Linked DNA regions of Cricetulus griseus. The protein of the gene in region 2 purifies or fractionates together with the protein of the main gene of each other region. This does not show direct contact. Links are inferred from orthologs where the notes say so. Each region holds a gene or a part of one and is shown on either strand. Other genes may lie near its edges.

The links.
Region 1: the proteins of Ccnl1 (region 2) and Csnk2a2 purify together in Homo sapiens (affinity purification with mass spectrometry; 4 studies listed by BioGRID and IntAct, with this or other methods). This does not show direct contact. The link is inferred for Cricetulus griseus from reciprocal best matches to the Homo sapiens genes CCNL1 and CSNK2A2.

The regions. Positions count from the first base shown.
Region 1 is NC_048596.1:171,638,101-171,646,766, forward strand, and holds part of Csnk2a2 (casein kinase II subunit alpha'), read right to left. Parts: intron 7,849-8,666; coding exon 7,765-7,848; intron 7,060-7,764; coding exon 6,949-7,059; intron 6,430-6,948; coding exon 6,328-6,429; intron 5,678-6,327; coding exon 5,577-5,677; intron 4,280-5,576; coding exon 4,131-4,279; intron 1,786-4,130; coding exon 1,709-1,785; 3' UTR 1,692-1,708; exon of another isoform or gene 1-1,691.
Region 2 is NW_023276806.1:86,989,326-86,997,991, reverse strand, and holds the end of Ccnl1 (cyclin-L1), read right to left. Parts: intron 5,800-8,666; coding exon 5,679-5,799; intron 4,794-5,678; coding exon 4,729-4,793; intron 4,489-4,728; exon of another isoform or gene 4,475-4,488; intron 3,023-4,474; coding exon 2,923-3,022; intron 2,832-2,922; coding exon 2,727-2,831; intron 2,647-2,726; coding exon 2,505-2,646; intron 2,284-2,504; coding exon 2,172-2,283; intron 2,080-2,171; coding exon 1,981-2,079; intron 1,054-1,980; coding exon 705-1,053; 3' UTR 268-704; downstream 1-267. UniProt on the Homo sapiens protein: Involved in pre-mRNA splicing. Functions in association with cyclin-dependent kinases (CDKs). Inhibited by the CDK-specific inhibitor CDKN1A/p21. May play a role in the regulation of RNA polymerase II (pol II).

The DNA.
Region 1 (8,666 bases), on a different chromosome or scaffold from region 2:
ATCTTACTTTTTAACTTATGAACTGAACTCCATACTATCAAGAAGAGTTACATTTGTCTTTTACGTTCACACAGACCAAACGACAAAATAGAATCTGCATTTAGAGATGGACCTGCTACCAATACCAATACAAGTTTATTGGAATTTGGAATGTAAACAGATGTTTCAAACAAACAATCTAACCTTATAAAAATGTATGGCATTATTAAATAGTTAATGAAGAAACCCTAAGTGTGATGTGGTAGATACCCCAAGCATGTTAGGTCCCCAAAGCTGATGCATGGCTCTGCAGCCAAGGAGAAGGGACTAGCTGGCAAACCATGTCAGTGACCAGTCCCCCAAATGAAATCAGCTCTATAAAAAACAAAAACAAAAAACCCCAAACAAAATCTAGCTCTCTGCTAACATGAAGGTTAGCACATAGCTGTGACACTTGCTCCAGGAGCCCCCTTCCTCTCCCAGGCCCTGGCCATCTCTCTCCAGCCAGCTGCAGGAGTCACAGGACAGCCTTGCCCACAAGCTATCGTCTGCATGTCAGATACTTCTTTGCCATTACACTCATGTATGACCTATTAGAGCTGTAAATGCCCATCACCCTGATTGTAGCCAGACCTGTTTGTCACGGGGTGAAAAAGAGGGAAGATGGTAGGTGTGCCTTTTGCATATGTGAGATCTTTCCTGAATACATTCTAATAGAACACTTCCCTCCCTCTTTGACCTGCCGGAAGACTAACGTTCCAGCTGCAGCTATGGCTGTGAACAAAAATAAGTCTTTGTTTTAGGGTGGTACATTGAAGTAGGTGCCCACACAAAGATGTGCTGAGAAATGGTGAAGTTTTCCTTATGGGGGGTGGCGCTAAAAAAAAAAAAAAAAAGAGAGAAAAAAGAAAAAGGAAAAAAGAAAAGAAAAAGCAACAAGATTCAATAGTTAGGCAAATCAATAAAGGTGAGCCCCAAGTTATGCACACAGCATGAAACTTCTAATGAACCTGGGACCTGTTCATGGCATCTCAAGATTTACAGTGCCATCTTCCGACACTAAAGAGGATGTGGTGAGAGTGACTGCAGTTTGCTTCCAAATGAATATACTTAGAAGAAAACTGCAAGAATGAGGTACATTTCCTGGAGAGCTCATGTCATAAAAAAATACATAACACATGAATTTGTAAAAGAGCTTAAAAAAAATACTGTCACTGTTTTAATCTTTTTTTTCTTTTCTTTTTTCTTTTCTTTTTCTTTTTTTTTTTTTTTTTTTTGTAAATGAGGCTGGTGTGTCAGAATAGACTGCTGACTTGCTAAAACTTGAGCCTGAATTCTCACAGAAGAAAACCAGACACCACAATGGAATAGATAGGAAGTCAGATATTCAGAGCTTGTTGACCGAACGGGTTAATTCAACAGTGGTATCCTGTTAAACGCAGGTACGTGTACAACAACTCCGAGCTTCTCATCTCCCATGCATTCCAAAGGGAGAGTCCCCTCAGATCCTGAACTATGTGCACTGCCACACTGTACAGCGCAGCTCCCTGCAGACTAGTACTGGGGAGTTTCTTGCTTTTGACAGGCTTTAGGTCTTTACTCTTCTTTGCCTTTAGAAGGAATGATTAGAATTTCTTTTTATCACACTGCAGTTTCCTTCAAGTTTTTGTTTGGTTGGTTGGTTTTATTGGCAAGCATCAGTGCCGCATTACCGTCGATTCCCCAGGCTTCATCGTGCTGCGCTGAGGCCACTGGAAAGCACGGTGTTCTCTGCACAAGGCTGGGACTGCTCCTTCACCACAGGGTCTGCAAGAGAGGAGGAGCACAGGTCTCCATGTCAGCACCAGCACTGAGGGTGTAGTGGGAATGCCATGGCTAACCTGCCTTTCCTCTTCTATATGCACCAAGACAGACACTTACATGGAACTCAGGCCACACAAGAACCAGGCACCAAGACATGACCAGGAAAGAACTCCTTTTCTTTTTGCCCTCAAGGCAGGGAATAGAACCCAGTCTCACACATGCTAGGCAATCAACTAAGTCACATCCTCAACTCCTTCTGAAAATTTTTTTTGTTGCTCAGACTAGCACTGAACTCTCATTCTTCTTTAGCCTTAGCCTCCAGCATAGGCCAGGGTGGCCCTCATGCCCACTGAGGAATTATATAGAGTTGATTTTTTTCTACTTCCTTAGAATACAGACCCTACTGCTAAAAAGCAGAGACCCCAACTCACCACTGTTCAAAATTCACAATATTTCTGGTGATTTCTGAGTACCAACATCATACCTAGCATGTCATAAACAAGGGTGAATAAAAAAGCCATTGACAACTGGGAGGTGGTGGCGCAGGCCTTTAGTTCCAGCACTTGGGAGGCAGAGGCAGGCGGATCTACAAGAACTAGTTTCAGGACAGCCTCCGAAGCCATAGAGAAACCCTGTCTGGGACACGCCCCCCCCCCAAGAAAAAAGAAAACAAACAAACAAAACCCCAGCCATTTTAAGCAGCAGTGAAATATGGAGTTTATTTAGGGAAGTAAACAAACAATGATTATCTAAAATATCTATCAGGTTGTTTTTATTATTATTCCTGAGGCAGGGCCTAACTATATACCTTAGATGGTCTTAAATTTGCAATCCTTACACATTTGCCTCATGAGTTTACACCAGTACTGCTTTTTATTTTGGTTTTGTTTGTTTGCTAGCTTGCTTGCTTGTTTTTTGAGACAGGGTTTCTCTGTGTAGCCTAGGCTATCATGGAACTCACTCTGTAGTTCAGGCTGGACAATTTGAACTCAGGGATCCACTTGCCTCTGCCTTCCCAATCCTGGAATTAAAGGTATGCATCACCACCGCCTGGCTATTTTGTTTGTTTGTTTGTTGTTGTTGTTGTTTTTAAGATACAGTCTTACTATGTATCCCAAGCTGGCCTTAGACTCACAAAGATCTGACTAACTTTGCCTCTGAGTACTTGGTTTAAAGGAGTGGACCACCACTCAGGGCAACACCAATATCCTAAAGTGGCCTATCTTGAAGGATAAAAGCAGCTTTCTGTGTTGGAAATTAGAAAGCAAACAATGGAATGTCAGCTGTTTAGGGTCCAGAAGGCTAAATGAGAAGACCCTTTACATTTTTTTGTTGCCTTAAACTTCTGCCTAAAGTTTAAGATCATGGCAATAAGTCCTTCCTATCTGTTAATATTACTGGGAATTAGTAAACTCCAAAGGAAAAAGTGGTCAAACAACAGACAAAAACTTTAAGGAACAGAAATGAAGATAAGTCACATTCAACTTCTTCCATGACTAGACTAAGCCACCCTCTTCTGTCAATGACAAGGGTGATGTGTCTAGGAGACTTTCAGTGGGAAGAACACTACATGGACCCAAAACACAAGCAAGTGCAGAAGGAACACATATGCTCCGAGAGATGTCACAGGTCAGAATCCAGCTGCCATACCTGCTACCTGCTTACCTGCAATTCCTCTTGCTTACATGTTGCTTCCTTTAGAATCACATTAAAAAAGCAATGATCTTACTACTTTGTTTTGTTTTTCAAGACAGGGTTTCTCTGTGTAGCCCTGGCTGTCCCGGAACTCACTCTGTAGACCAGTCTGGCCTCAAAATCACAGAGATCTGCCTGCCTCTGCCTCCTGAGTGCTGGGATTAAAGGTGTGTGCTGCCACCACCACCCGACCTGATCTTACTACTTTTAACTAAATATTATTATTATTATTATTATTATTATTATTATTATTAATTGGTTCAAATTAGAAACAAGCTTGTTTCATATGTCAATCCCTTCTCCCTTTCCCTCACCCCCATCCCTCCTCCTCCACCCCCCCTAAATTTTTTTTAAAAGAGAAAAAATAATCTTTGATTAGGTTTTTGCACTTGAAAAAAAAATCTTAGATACCTTTCAGTATACAAGCCCAGGGTGATGACAGTGGGTTATACAGCCTGGCCTCAGAGGTACTACTAACATTGAACAGCAAACACCTTCGAGAACTAATCAAATCACCCATAAAATGGCCTCAGTGGTCCAGTAAAATGAATAAAATTTAAAGCCAAATTCCTAGGCTGATCTAAATCCAAATACCTAGTTTTCTGTCTGACCCCAAAGATAAAGGTGACATCTTTTGCCATTTAATAACTCACAGAAGTACGGGTGCTCCATGGCCTCTTTGGCAGTCAGTCTCTGTTGATGGTCGTACCGCAGGAGCTTGTCAAGAAGATCTAGGGCCTCAGGACTGACAAGGTGTCTGTTTTCACTATGGATAAAGTTTTCCCAGCGCTTCCGTGAATGTCTAAAAAACAAAAACAAACAAAGTGAATATTAGTATTCTGAGACTAAACAACCAGATAAACCCTCCTTTAATAGACATAACATAAACAAACCCTTAGAATACTGCACTTCGTGCAACAGCTGAAGCTCATTCTTATCGGTGCCCACTTCAAATGGGCTAGTATACACACACTGTCACCCACAGTTATAACCATGACATAAAACTGCTCAATTATTAGATGAGCAGAATCTATTGAAAATATCTATATCTGAGGGAGAATTGTTCAATCTTTCTGGATTACTCTTATGCCTGTCTTTTAATCAACCGTGAGTAAGGCCTGGCGGTGACTAAGTGATGCACTGGTCAGTAGATATATTTAGAAGGTTGGCTTTAGAAACAAGCAATTTCATAAAATAATGCCTGAAGACCACTAGCCAAACATTTACTTTTAACACACTGCACTGAGGCTGGACATGGTGGCACACACCTATAATTGAGCACTCAGGTTGAGGCCAGGAGGCTACACAGCAAACAAATAAGACCATCCCCACCCCAAAATACCTAAGTCACGAAACTAGGTACTGTACCTGAAAATTTAGCATGCCTTAATATTTATTATAAAACTTCAGAAAATAAGCTATTCACTTATTTGAAGAAGCCTCGTTTTCTAAGATTTGCCATCAAAATAAGCATATGCAGGGCTAGGGAGATGGCTCAGTAGTTAAGAGCACTGGCTGCTTTCCCAGTGAACCCAGGTTCAGTTCCCAGCACCCACATGGTAGCTATTAACTATCTGTAACTCTACTTCCAGAGGACCCCTTTTCTGGCTAAGCATACACACACAGTACATTATGTGCACACAGGTAAAACAGGCTTACATATAAAACAAGAAGAAATAATTTCTTTTGAAAAAGCACAAGCTTTGACCAAATAAACATTTTTTCTATAACATTATGACTTTATTTTCCATTTGCTTCCACAGGATCAAACTCTTGATTCTCCTGCTGCAGCCTCCCAAGTGTTGTGATTAGAAACATGCATATCTACACAAGGCTTATTTTCCATTTTCTACTGATAAATAGGAGTCGTACCATTTGGGAGGCCAAGGCAGGTAGATCCCGGTGAGTTCAAAACTAGCCCTGATCTACATAGCCACTGAGACCCTGGTTCATTCAATAAATAAGTAAATAAATATCAATATTGAAGTTAGAAAAGGGAAACTGGATGTTGTCTAACTTTACCACTTCTGAAGTAGAGCAAAGTGCTTCCTTCTTTCCTTTCTCCTTCTCTCCCTCCCTCCCTCTCCTTTCTTACTTACTGTCCCAAGATATCATTGAAGTGTGGATCTAGGTCTATGTGGTACTTCTTCAGATATCCATACAGCTCATCTGTCCCCAGAACCTTGGCAATTCGAACAAGCTGAAACACAGAACAAAACTGACCCAACCACCAAGCACAGTGCTTTCTGTGAGCTTTTGTGGACACTGTGCTAGGCCTGGGAATCAGGAAATCCCATGCCACTCAAATCCCAAATGACTTAACAGAGACCCGAGTCTAGGATAAACAGAGACTTAAGAACACAACACTCACATGAATGCAAGTTTCTAAACTGCTTTAAAAAAAAAAAAAAAAATTATTATGTATATAGTGTTCAGCCTGCATATATCCCTGCAGGCCAGAAGAGGGCACCAGATCTCATAACCGATGGTTGTGAGCCACCATGTGGTTGCTGGAAATTGAACTCAGGACCTCTGGAAGATCAGTCAGTGCTCTTAACCTCTGAGCCATCTCTCCAGCCCCCTAAACTGCTTTTAAAGGGTTGATATAACTTAGATGCTAACATCTTTGGGGACACTGATCAAATAACTATAATGTGATTTTGTTAGATAAAGAAGTGCCTTACTTCTTAGACCCATCTTGAAAGTTCACTAGGCAGCATTGTCTGTCTCGGCATGCTTGGGGCCCTCATGCTCACTCATACAATTCTGAACAATCCTTTAGCTTACACAGTCCCCAGAGGCTATTTCCCTAACATTCATGACAAACAAGCAAGGGATGAATCTGCTCACCTGGTCATAGTTGTCCTGCCCATGGAAGAATGGCTCCTTTCGGAATATCATGCTCGCTAACATGCAGCCCAAGCTCCACATGTCTAAGCTGTAATCATACATCTGAATGCAGGAAGGATGATCCATCAGTCAAGGATAGTTAGACACTCATTGATTAAGTTTCTCATATCCATCTGACCTCTAGCTCTGACTTTTGACATCTGACCTCTAGCTCTGACTTTTGAGAGAGCCTTATACACATTAGGCAAACATCTACTACTAAGTTCCATCCTCAGCCTCTCTGCAATTACTCTGTAACTAAGTCACCGCACCCCGCCACCCCAAAAAGCCACCAAAAGACTCAGCTGGTAAAGGCTGTCAAGCCTACTAAACTAAGTTTAGTAACAAGAACCAATATGGTGGAGAGAACAAACACCTGCAAGTTGTCTTCCGACCTTCCCACATGGGCTGTGGCACATATACATACATGCATAAAAATAATTAATTTTTTAATGTTGCTGAGTAAAACCTTTAGAGTAGAATAACTGGGTTTTGAATGCATCCAAAGTGACCACACAGCAACCAGGAAAATTCCTAAGGAAATATAAAAATAGCTCTGCGCAGCTTCACTAATAAGTTCACCTGATAGTCCACAAGGAGCTCTGGTCCCTTGAAGTACCTCGAGGCCACTCGAACATTGTACTCCTGGGCAGGATGATAGAACTCCGCCAGACCCCAATCAATCAGTCGGAGCTATGAGAAAGACAAAGACCCAACAGAATGGGTAAGGTGCACTTTGAGATGCCATTGCCTATGACGAGGCCACACTGCATCTCTACAACAGGTATTCGGCCACACACAGTGTACCCAGGAAAAAGTTTACTTCAGAAACTGCAGATGAGGTCATTTATGGAGCACAGTACTTGGAATATATCTGAGTTTTTTCCCTTTTAAGTTATACTGTTTTTTTTTTTTTTTTTTTAATTTTTTTCTGGTCTCCATGCTACTTACATGTGGAACACATGCCCCCACCATTCATAGCTCTTAACATAAGCTCCAGGCACTAATGAAGGGCTTACGTGTGTGACCACGTAAGTCACACCCTTAGAGTGCTGCTCTAGTTGGTCACTAAGCTAACCCTGTCTATGACAACCAGAGTTGGAAACACCCAAGTGTATTTTTTTTAGGGCTAGTCTGACTGGTCTAATGCTCACGAAGAATCAAAGCAGAGACCACTGATGTAGTTTCTTCCTGAGGCCCTTTGAACACTAAAACCAAAATAAAACTAGTGACCAAAGTCAAGGTCTCTGTGTACTTCCTGGAGACTAGAGAAGTCAAAGTAATGCAGTCTACTTAAGAAATCAGTGTGGTCTACATACACCACAATGCTATTGGACAATGTTTAGGTTTTTCCTAAACCTTCAGCAAAGATTTGGTGCTGCCTGGCTGGATTGGTACCTTTTTTTGTTGGTGATCTATCATGACATTGTGAGGTTTCACATCCCTGTGCATGATTCCCTTGCTGTGGCAGTAATCCAGAGCCTAGTAGGTAAGAAAGCACAGAGAAAAGTAAGCAAACCCTCTACCACCCACAACGCAAACACATTTTTATTATTTGTGACACTTTAACTTGAACAGTCTCAAAAAAGGACAGCTTACTGCCTTTAAGGAGAGAAACAAAAAGATGCTCTCCGTGGACACTACAGCTGGCAGCCAGTGGAAAGGGGGCTGTCAATGATCATGCTGAAGGTTGCTTTAAAAAGAAGGGATGAGAGGCCAGAGTGTGGGACCTCAGAATCCATGTGGGCATGAAGAATGACACCTTAACGTATCTTAAAACAAGGCACACTTATGCTATGTGGGCTATGAGTTTTCCAGATAAGAAGCATTTACATTTTCCGTAAACATAAAACCTGAGCCAGCATTTAAGAATTATCATTACTATTCTAAAAGAGAAAACTACTTCCTGTAATAGAATCAAAAGGCTTTGTGGTGTTAAAAGCCAATGATCTTTAGTAAACTGACAGCTGTATAACCAAGTCACCATGTTTCAGAGCTTTTCAGCACCTTCACAGTTTCCTGGAGTTTGAGATAATGCCCACGCCAAGCTTCTTGAAGCCACTGGTGGATCGGGTATCTGTTCTAGAGATTTCTTCCTACCAGACATTCCTAATGCTACAGTACTTTGTTCACCTTTCTCACTGAGCTTATTTAATTTTGAGACTGAATCATTTATGAACTTACTAGTTTACTGACTTGGGTTGTTTCTACTTCTGGCTGTTGAGAACAATGCTGCAATGAATAACCATGTGTAAGATTTTTTTGGGAGTATGCAAACTGTGTGTAAGTTTTTTTAGGGG
Region 2 (8,666 bases):
CATATAGGTCTTAGCTTTATGGTGTGATTTTTCACATTACAAATAACTAAGATTTAAAATTATCTTCTGATACATTAAGCTCAAATCAGGTTTAGCATTTTAGTGGTTCAGTAGCATATCAGGCCACTCCTATTTGCTTTGCCTCTATACACAATGACCATTACATTCTGCGAGACCTTATCCCAAACACCTTTCAGAAATCAGCACAAAGCCATCTTACCACTACAATCTTGCTTCTTAGCAATTTAAATAAGATATTTGAAGCCATTTAGAAAAACAAGATTTGCATTTTATTTCCTTGTAAAAATCTTTACACATGCAGACAAACCAGTGTTAAGAAAGTATTCACCATCATTTAAACAAATAACCACTTAAATAGAACAGTGTCTGCAAGTTTTATCTGTATAAAAATAAGATACATTTTTACAGAATTCACGCTCCAGTTCTTGTAGCAATAAACAATACACAACTCTAATAAAGTACAATTGAACCTGACCATGGTTTTCAATTAGATACTGCTAGGGCATTTTAATGTGCAAAAAACCTTAACATAGTTCTTTTCCAAAGAAAATGTCCTCAGTGTTTCTAGAGACCTAGACAATTTTAATAAATCAATTCCTAATCAGTTTGCTTCATGTTTTGATTGAGTCCATACATCACACTGCACAACCACAAACCAATGATGCAGTGTCAGAGGAAGAAAGTCAACGCCTATGCCTGCCATGTCCTGAGCGACTGCCACCATGGTGCTTGCTTTTATGGGATCTCTCAAAGGAGCGAGATCTTTCACGCCTGTCTCTGTGATGTCCCCTTTCATGCCTGTGTTTCTTGGCAACATCTGAGTGATCCCGAGACTTGCTCTGAGATCGAGACCGAGATTTTTTCCTTTTATGACCATGTCTATTTGAGCTTTTTAAATCTTCTCTGGTATGTTTGGCCTTAAGGTGAGGAGAACCATGATTATGATGTCTTCGAGGGCTTTCACTGTGACTGCGGGACCTGCTTCTTGATCTTGAGCTGTATGTTCCAGATCGACTTCGCCTATTATTGTAACTTAGACAATAAAAGTTTCAAGTTTAGGTTTGGTTTCTAGTGAGAACAGATTAATAACTATTGTTCATTAGCAAGCTCAAAACAATCAGCTATGAGCAATGAAAAGCTGAACTGACAATGCTCCTCAGTCTCCCCACCCTGACCCCTTTCAACTGAAGTTTTACTTTAGACAAAACATCCTATGACTGTAGTCCAGTGAAGGGGGTCACTGATGTGTCCTAGAACTAGGTAGATGCTTTTTTTACTGAGTATCTCCCACATGATCAAAGTACCACTGAACCACCAGAAGAAAACTGCAACCCAGTTGCAAAGCTGACTGGAAGTCTTGGACTTTTCAATACATTAATGTATTAAAAATATAAAGAATGTTTTCACATAAATAGCTTTACATACATATACCCCATAGCATTTTCTTAATACTTTTCAAAAAAAATGAGGGGTAGAACAAACAAAATAATGCCTAAAATGCATCAGTGAAATGGCTCATCAGATAAAAGGGGCCTGCCATCAAGCCCAAAGACCAGGGTTTGATTTAGGACCCATATAGTATCAGTAGAGAACTGACTTTTACAAAATTTCCTGTAACTTCTGTATATAACACTTAGTCACACTTAAAAACACACAACTAAGTTCCACACACATCCAAAAGTGTGTCTCTAAATTTATTTCTCTTTACATTAAGCCTAATCCCGACAACATGCTTGTAATCCTAGCAAACAGGCTCTCTCTCTCTCTCTCTCTCTCTCTCTCTCTCTCTCTCTCTCTCTCTCCTCTCTCCCTCTCACACACACACACACACACACACACACACACACACACACACCTGCTATACCAACAAAAAACCCAAATACTTCCTCCTAGCCTAAAGCTCTCGTTCACTTTTCAAAGGTCTTAAGCCCGCTCCACCACACAGGACCCATTACTCACTGTCTTCTTGGGGTGTGTGATCTAGAGCGCGATCTGGTTCTTGACCTTGATCTACTAGCACTTCTGCTGTTCCTGCTTCTCTTGCTGTCTTTTCTTACACTTAAAGAAAATGCAGGCAGTGTTTTTTACATTGTTTTAGGATATGCACAAAGATTTAGCAATAAATACCCAAGCCCTTGAAGCACACTTACCCATTATAAGGGCTTTTCGAAGCCTGTTGTCTATCCTCGGGTTCTTTTTTGACTGTCTTCACATTAATGGAGATTGGCGATTTTTCTTCAGCTTTTACTTCTCTTGGTGAGGCTTTTAATAGACAAGGACAAAAGGGCAAGATTTAGCAGAGAACAAGTTTCCAATACAACCTAAAAGTACTCCTTCCACTTCTGACCCTTAGGCTGACTTGTCCCAAAACACCCATTAACAATTTCTTAATTGATCTCTAAGCAACTGACCAACGCCAAGTGATCTAGCAACATACACTTCTTCCTATGGTTATAGTTTATTCAATTATGATTGTAACTTACATGGTTTAGAAGCTGGAGAAAATCCACCAAGGGTTGAAAGAGCTGGAGTTCCATCGGGATTCAATCCCTTTGCTTTTAACTTGGCTTCCTGTAAGGCTACTTTTCTTTTTTCTACTTCTTTTTCCAGCAATTCATAGTTAGGCTGTTGGATGAAAATCAAGTTAGTATTCCCTTTAGATTCTTGGAAATGACATCAGCACCAAACTGAGTAACCGAAATTACCTTTTTCCTGGTATAAAGTCTAAGGGTCTCTATGCAAATTTCCTGAATCTCCTCTTCTGTGGTACCAAAAAGAAGAAACCAATGTGGCCGAGTAGGCAATGGAATCTAAATGATTAAAAAAAGAATGGTTCAAGTTTACGCTCTTCTAAGAAGTAACAAAACTCTTGGAATTCACTTTGTAAAACCCAGCACTTACCTGAAGTGCTCTAGCTGCAAGGTAGATACAAGCACATGCTATAGTCTCTGGTTGAAAGCGAACGAAGACATTGGTTCGAAGACTGTCATTCATGTAATTCCTGAAAAACATTTCAGCTATAAGCTTAGTCCATAAGCAAATCAATTCTTCTGAAGTGCACATAAAACTGGAGACTCAATCTACTTCATTCTTTTTTCTTCTCCTTATGTTCACATCTTTAAATTGTACCATGATAACAATTTCTAACCCTCCCCCCATAGCACTTGTAAACAATTCCATATTAGCATATAGATCTACCCCTAAAATCCTTTCAACATATTGTTATAAAAGGCAATGATTTTGAAGTCAATTCTGATATAATGAGTTTAAGAGTTTACCACTCCAACAATACTTCAAGCCATTAGTTACTGACCATCTCTCCTTTATCCATAATAAAAAGCAGTGTCAACCAAGTTCTTTCAAAAAAAAAAAAAATTCAATACCAGGAACAGGGGTAAAAAGGTATTTTTAGTAAGAACTCACCAAGTTACTCTTACAGTTAGAAGGGGGTAAAAAAAACTTCAAAAAAAAAAAAATCAAGGTAGAAAAGTAAACAATAAATACACATCATAATGGCCTTGTCAACATAACTTTTTGCAATTAAGCATAAACAAAAGCAATGATCTAACTAAATAAACTTCTAGTGAAACTTTCCTATGAATTTTTTTAACTAAATAAAAAACTTTGTAATTTGCTGAAAAGCCTGAGCTGGAAATTAAATGGATTATTTCTAAAATCCTTACACTCGTTAAAAACTTTAATTTTTTTTTTTTTTTTGCTGCACAGAACACATTAAAAAGTCATGCATTTTATAAAGCAATGTGGCTTTTCTAATGTTACCAGTTATCTACCAAGTCCAAGAAAGGCATGGCAGTCATAAAAAAAAAAAAAAAAAAAAAAAAACACATTCTGGAGAAGTCCAGAATTATTTAATGCTTGTTTATCAACAGTCTTATGAATCACTTATGACTAAACCACAATTTCCTTGCTTAACCTCTCTGTATCTCAAAGGCCCAACTTCAAAAACATTTAAATAACATCAACTTCTTTAAAATTAAAATGCTTCTTATCACTGCCTGCAATGGTTCTATAGCTGGAGTAACCTAAAATGGCAACAGGTATCCATTTAAAGCTACAAACTTAAGGTAGCCTCCTTTGGTAGAATGGATGCTATACACTTCAAGTAGAAATTTAATTGAACCCAATTTAAAAAAAAAAAAAAAAAAAACAGTTCATAATGGCTGGACAACAATCTATCAAAAATGAAATATTCATTTTGATAGTTACAGGTATACATTAAATACATAGGCATGATGCATAGTTACTTCTAGAAGCAAATATACAAATCCTTTTGACACCCCGACAGAACTAGAAGATGCTGCCAGATGGATATGGACCACTTCAGTGAATCTCGGATGAGAGCTTGCACTGGATTGGCTGGAGAGCAGGCTAGCCAATCAGGCCATCCTGAGGTCATGGGCTGAAGTTCAGAGGGCAGAGTTCTATGACTTACCATCATGGACTACCCTTTAATTAAAGAGTAGAAAAAAGAACAAAGTTAAATTGAGTTCTCCATTAAAAATAATTAGTCAAGCCAAGAAAACAGGAAGCAGAAATAAGCATTATTTACCTTTTGGTTAAAAAATAACAAAAACAAAATGCCCCAAAACAAACTTATTTCATTATTTTGGAAAGAAAAAAATGAAACTTACTTTATTTCTGCTTCTGTTTTCCTGACTAAAGAAGAAATGTAAAAAAGCAACTTACCAGGCAGTTTGAACCAGGGTTTGGTTACGTTCACATTCTAAGACTTGTAAATACATTACAATGATCTGAGGACAAGGAAGAAAAAAACCATTTAGTGTATTGGTGGTTCTTTCACAGCAGAGTTCAATGAATAAAGCATCTAAAGTGTTACAGTTTTAATTACTATAAAATTTCAAATATAGGCCAACATATAACACTCAGTGTTAACTGCTCAATTCTATAAAAATGTACTTATAGATGTGGTTAATAACTCTGTTTTCTAACATTCATCAAAAAAGGGCAGAATTTCTACTCTGAGTATACACAATGGCCACAGCACATTTCTAGAACACCCAGCACTGCAGTAATTAATTTCTGCAGTAAAGCTTAGCATACTAAAGTTTCTTAAATAAAAGCTACATATAACTCAATGATACAATGTTGCCTTGCATTTGGTTCCCAGGAAGACACACCAAAAGCATAACTACTTTAGTTCATGTCAAAAGTGTTTCTGGACTCAGATTATCATCACTTTATGATATTAGAAAAATATAACTTAAAGATACCAGCCAGTGTCACCCAGTTAAAAGCAGGGCTAGCTATCTCCAATAGTTGAATTTTTCCAACTACTGTTCAGAAGGGTAATATGAAAGCCAAAAGAGAAAGCTTTTTATTAATGGTTTACAGTGAGCAGCAACCATTTTCAACACTTTAACGTGCCAGTTTCTACACAATTCATTCCTTACATGAGGAAGTCACCACATGATCTTGTTAGGTAGAAAAACAAGAATTTAACCACAAATATTCACAATCACACAATGACAAATAATAAAGCCTGTTTTGAGTCCTATTTTACTGACAAACATCAACATCCAAAACAAAGCTTTTGAAAACTCTCCACACAAACAAGTAAAAATTTTAGGAAAAGCCCTAATACTTACGAAATGTAATTTCTGCATTCTATTACTCACCTTATGGGGATGCTTGACATGAACACAAAATCCCAACTCCTTTAGCACCCTTCTTTCTGCCTTGATAACTTGATTTTTGGTGTTAATGTAGTTCTGATCAAGGATCAGAGGGCTTGGAGTCCTATAGTTTGTAAGAAATAAAATCAAAACTGTTTTGCACATCCAAAACCTTTTATTTGTGGCATCTCCATTTTCCCTTCCAACCAACTATTGGCAACAGAAACCAGCTTTTTAAACTCCTGCTAACAAGTTAAAGCATTAATCTTATGCTGTCCAAGTTATTGCTAATTATATGCAACTAGACAAAGCTCCTAAAACTAACACAATTTAAAAAAGTACTTACATATTCTTAGGTCTGACTTCCTCTTCGACTTACGCACTTAACTTCAGTAATACACATTACTGGCAATCAGCCTCCCAAAAACTTCCCAATGACAACAACCAATGTGATCCCATTTACTATAAAGTTCTAATATGAACAAAAATTTAAAAAATTTGAGTAAATCCTTTGCTAAATTTACAGTCAAATTGGGGTGGGGGGAGAGAGTTAATTCTGTTTTCTCTTTTTCAAAAACACCCCAAATATACAAAGTATTTGTTTGCTTAATTAGCCACCCACCCCTGGCCAAAAGAGAAAACAAAAAACAAAAAAAAATCCAAATTAGCTCAATTGTCAAATGATATATATATATATATATATACATATATATATATATATATATTTTAAATGGTGTGTGTTAAGAGTAAATTGGGTTAACTCCATCAATGTAGCTCCTCTGAGATGTAAGGTCACAGAGAGGGAACTGAAACCAGACCACATTTTGAGCAGGATTTCCCCAAAGGTGCTTTTCTTTTCATGAGAGTTTAGAAAGGACACTTAGCCAACTCATATAAAAAGTCATCTCACGTACATCATGTAAGTTTGTTTCTTTTTTAAAAAATACAATCTTGCTATGGAGTTCATCCTGCTCCCACCCATTGGAGCTGGTCATGTTAGAGGTAAGTGCAATGTGGCTTCTCTTTACCATGCTTTTTGATACATTCTTACCTCTAACTAGCAAGATGTACCCATTTCTCTTAAGGACTACACAATTAATAAATGGGTAAAATAACATCTAAATGCTTTCTCAAATACTCAATTCATTTTCAATCAAGTTGCAAGTTTTACGTTCTAGACAGAATACACTGCCTGAATACATCAATATACAACCTGCTCAAAAACAGTCTATTTAAGCATAACCACTTAAAGGTAATAAAACAATCTAATTTGTAATGTTGAGCCAGGAGTAGTAGCTCACACTCATTAAGCCCAGCACTATACAGGGGTAGGAGCAGAGGAATGTGGAGATAGACTTCAAGGACTTCCTCCACTACCATCAGGTGTGTTGAGGATAGCAGACTATCAGAGTTTAAAAAAAAAAAAAGGTATTTTATATTTTCCTTATTTTCACTTAAAAAGCAAAATAGTTACTGTTATTCTGTAACTTTGTGTTAAACCACGAATAGTTGCGAATAGTTGGCAGAAGTAACATCATCACGAACAGTTTCAAAGTGATGAAAAACTGTTTCAAGTTCATTTGCTACTACATCTTCAAAGTCTGAGAAATTTTAAGGCAATTAAGTGGGAGAATGGCCAGTTTTGAATCAGTTTTATCAGGACAAATAGCTGCAAACTGCACTTTAGGAAAAAAGTCAAATTTAACTCAAATGGGAACTAATGTATGTATGAAAACATACTCCAAAGTGACACTATGTAAGGGTTTATGATTTTGACGTTTTATATGCACTTTTTTTTTTTTTGAGATAAGGTTTCTCTGTGGCTTTGGAGGCTGTCCTGGAACTAGCTCTTGTAGACCAGGCTGGTCTCGAATTGCCAGAGACTGGCCTGCCTTTGCCTCCCAAGTGCTGGGATTAAAGGTGTGCACCACCACTACTCTGCACGTTACAAGAAATTTTGAAGACAATTCCACTACAGACTGATTAGAAGGTTTTGTCCTTCAACTGGTATTAGGAGCCAAAGAGGCTCCAGTTTTTATCTGTACACAGCTTAGCTCTTAACCCCTGAAATCCAGACAGCAAACAGCACTGTTAAAATCCCTATACAAATAGTTCACAAAAGCCAAGTTCTGTCTCACTTTTCTTCATGCATTAAAGTTTATACTATATCTTAATAAGAAAACTGCTTTATAGTTATTTTTAAATGGCAATAAATTTGTGATTAAGCAGGCGAACAACTTTTTTCAATTGTGGCTACCACCTGGTGTTGAATTTAAGGATTTATCACTAATTCTGCTTAAACAAGTATCTGAGATTTACTACTTTGAAATAAGCACATCAGAATTCCAAAGAACATGTAAAAGCATAGGCTTTGTTTAATCCCAGGAGTGAAGTGGTTAAGGAACAAACAAGAGTCATAAATTTCAGGCCACCCCAAACTACCACAGTGAGATCTTGAATCTTAAATTCCATGTCTCACCATTTTAAATATAGACCAAGGAAGTAAATCCATTACCTTCTACAACTCAACCATCTAAGTTTCTTGTTCAGTCTTGCCACTACCAATTTTCCAAGTCAGCTTTGTAAATGCATCTTTTATCTTCCTTTTGTTTAGAATTGATTTACTTCATAAAACAAGGCAAGTTCAATGAGTACAAAATTAACAACTACCTTAACAGAGCTTTATACCATGACAAAACAGCAAGCAAAGATTCTGAAAAAGCATTTAAGCAAAAAGCTTTTTATATTAACAAAGTAACCAATCAGAAGTATTTTTAGAAATACATTTTAAGTAGAATCAAGGCCTGGTATTATTTCCTCCCAATCAACTAAACATCCTTGATCAACACTAGATGAAGAGGGAACACTTAAAGCTGGGGGCATTAAGTCTCAACTATTCAGAACTCAGGAATATCTATCAACATCACTCCCAACAACCAAACTCCACCTCTGAAGGTTCTTTATTACCAGACTTTACTCATTAACCTATTT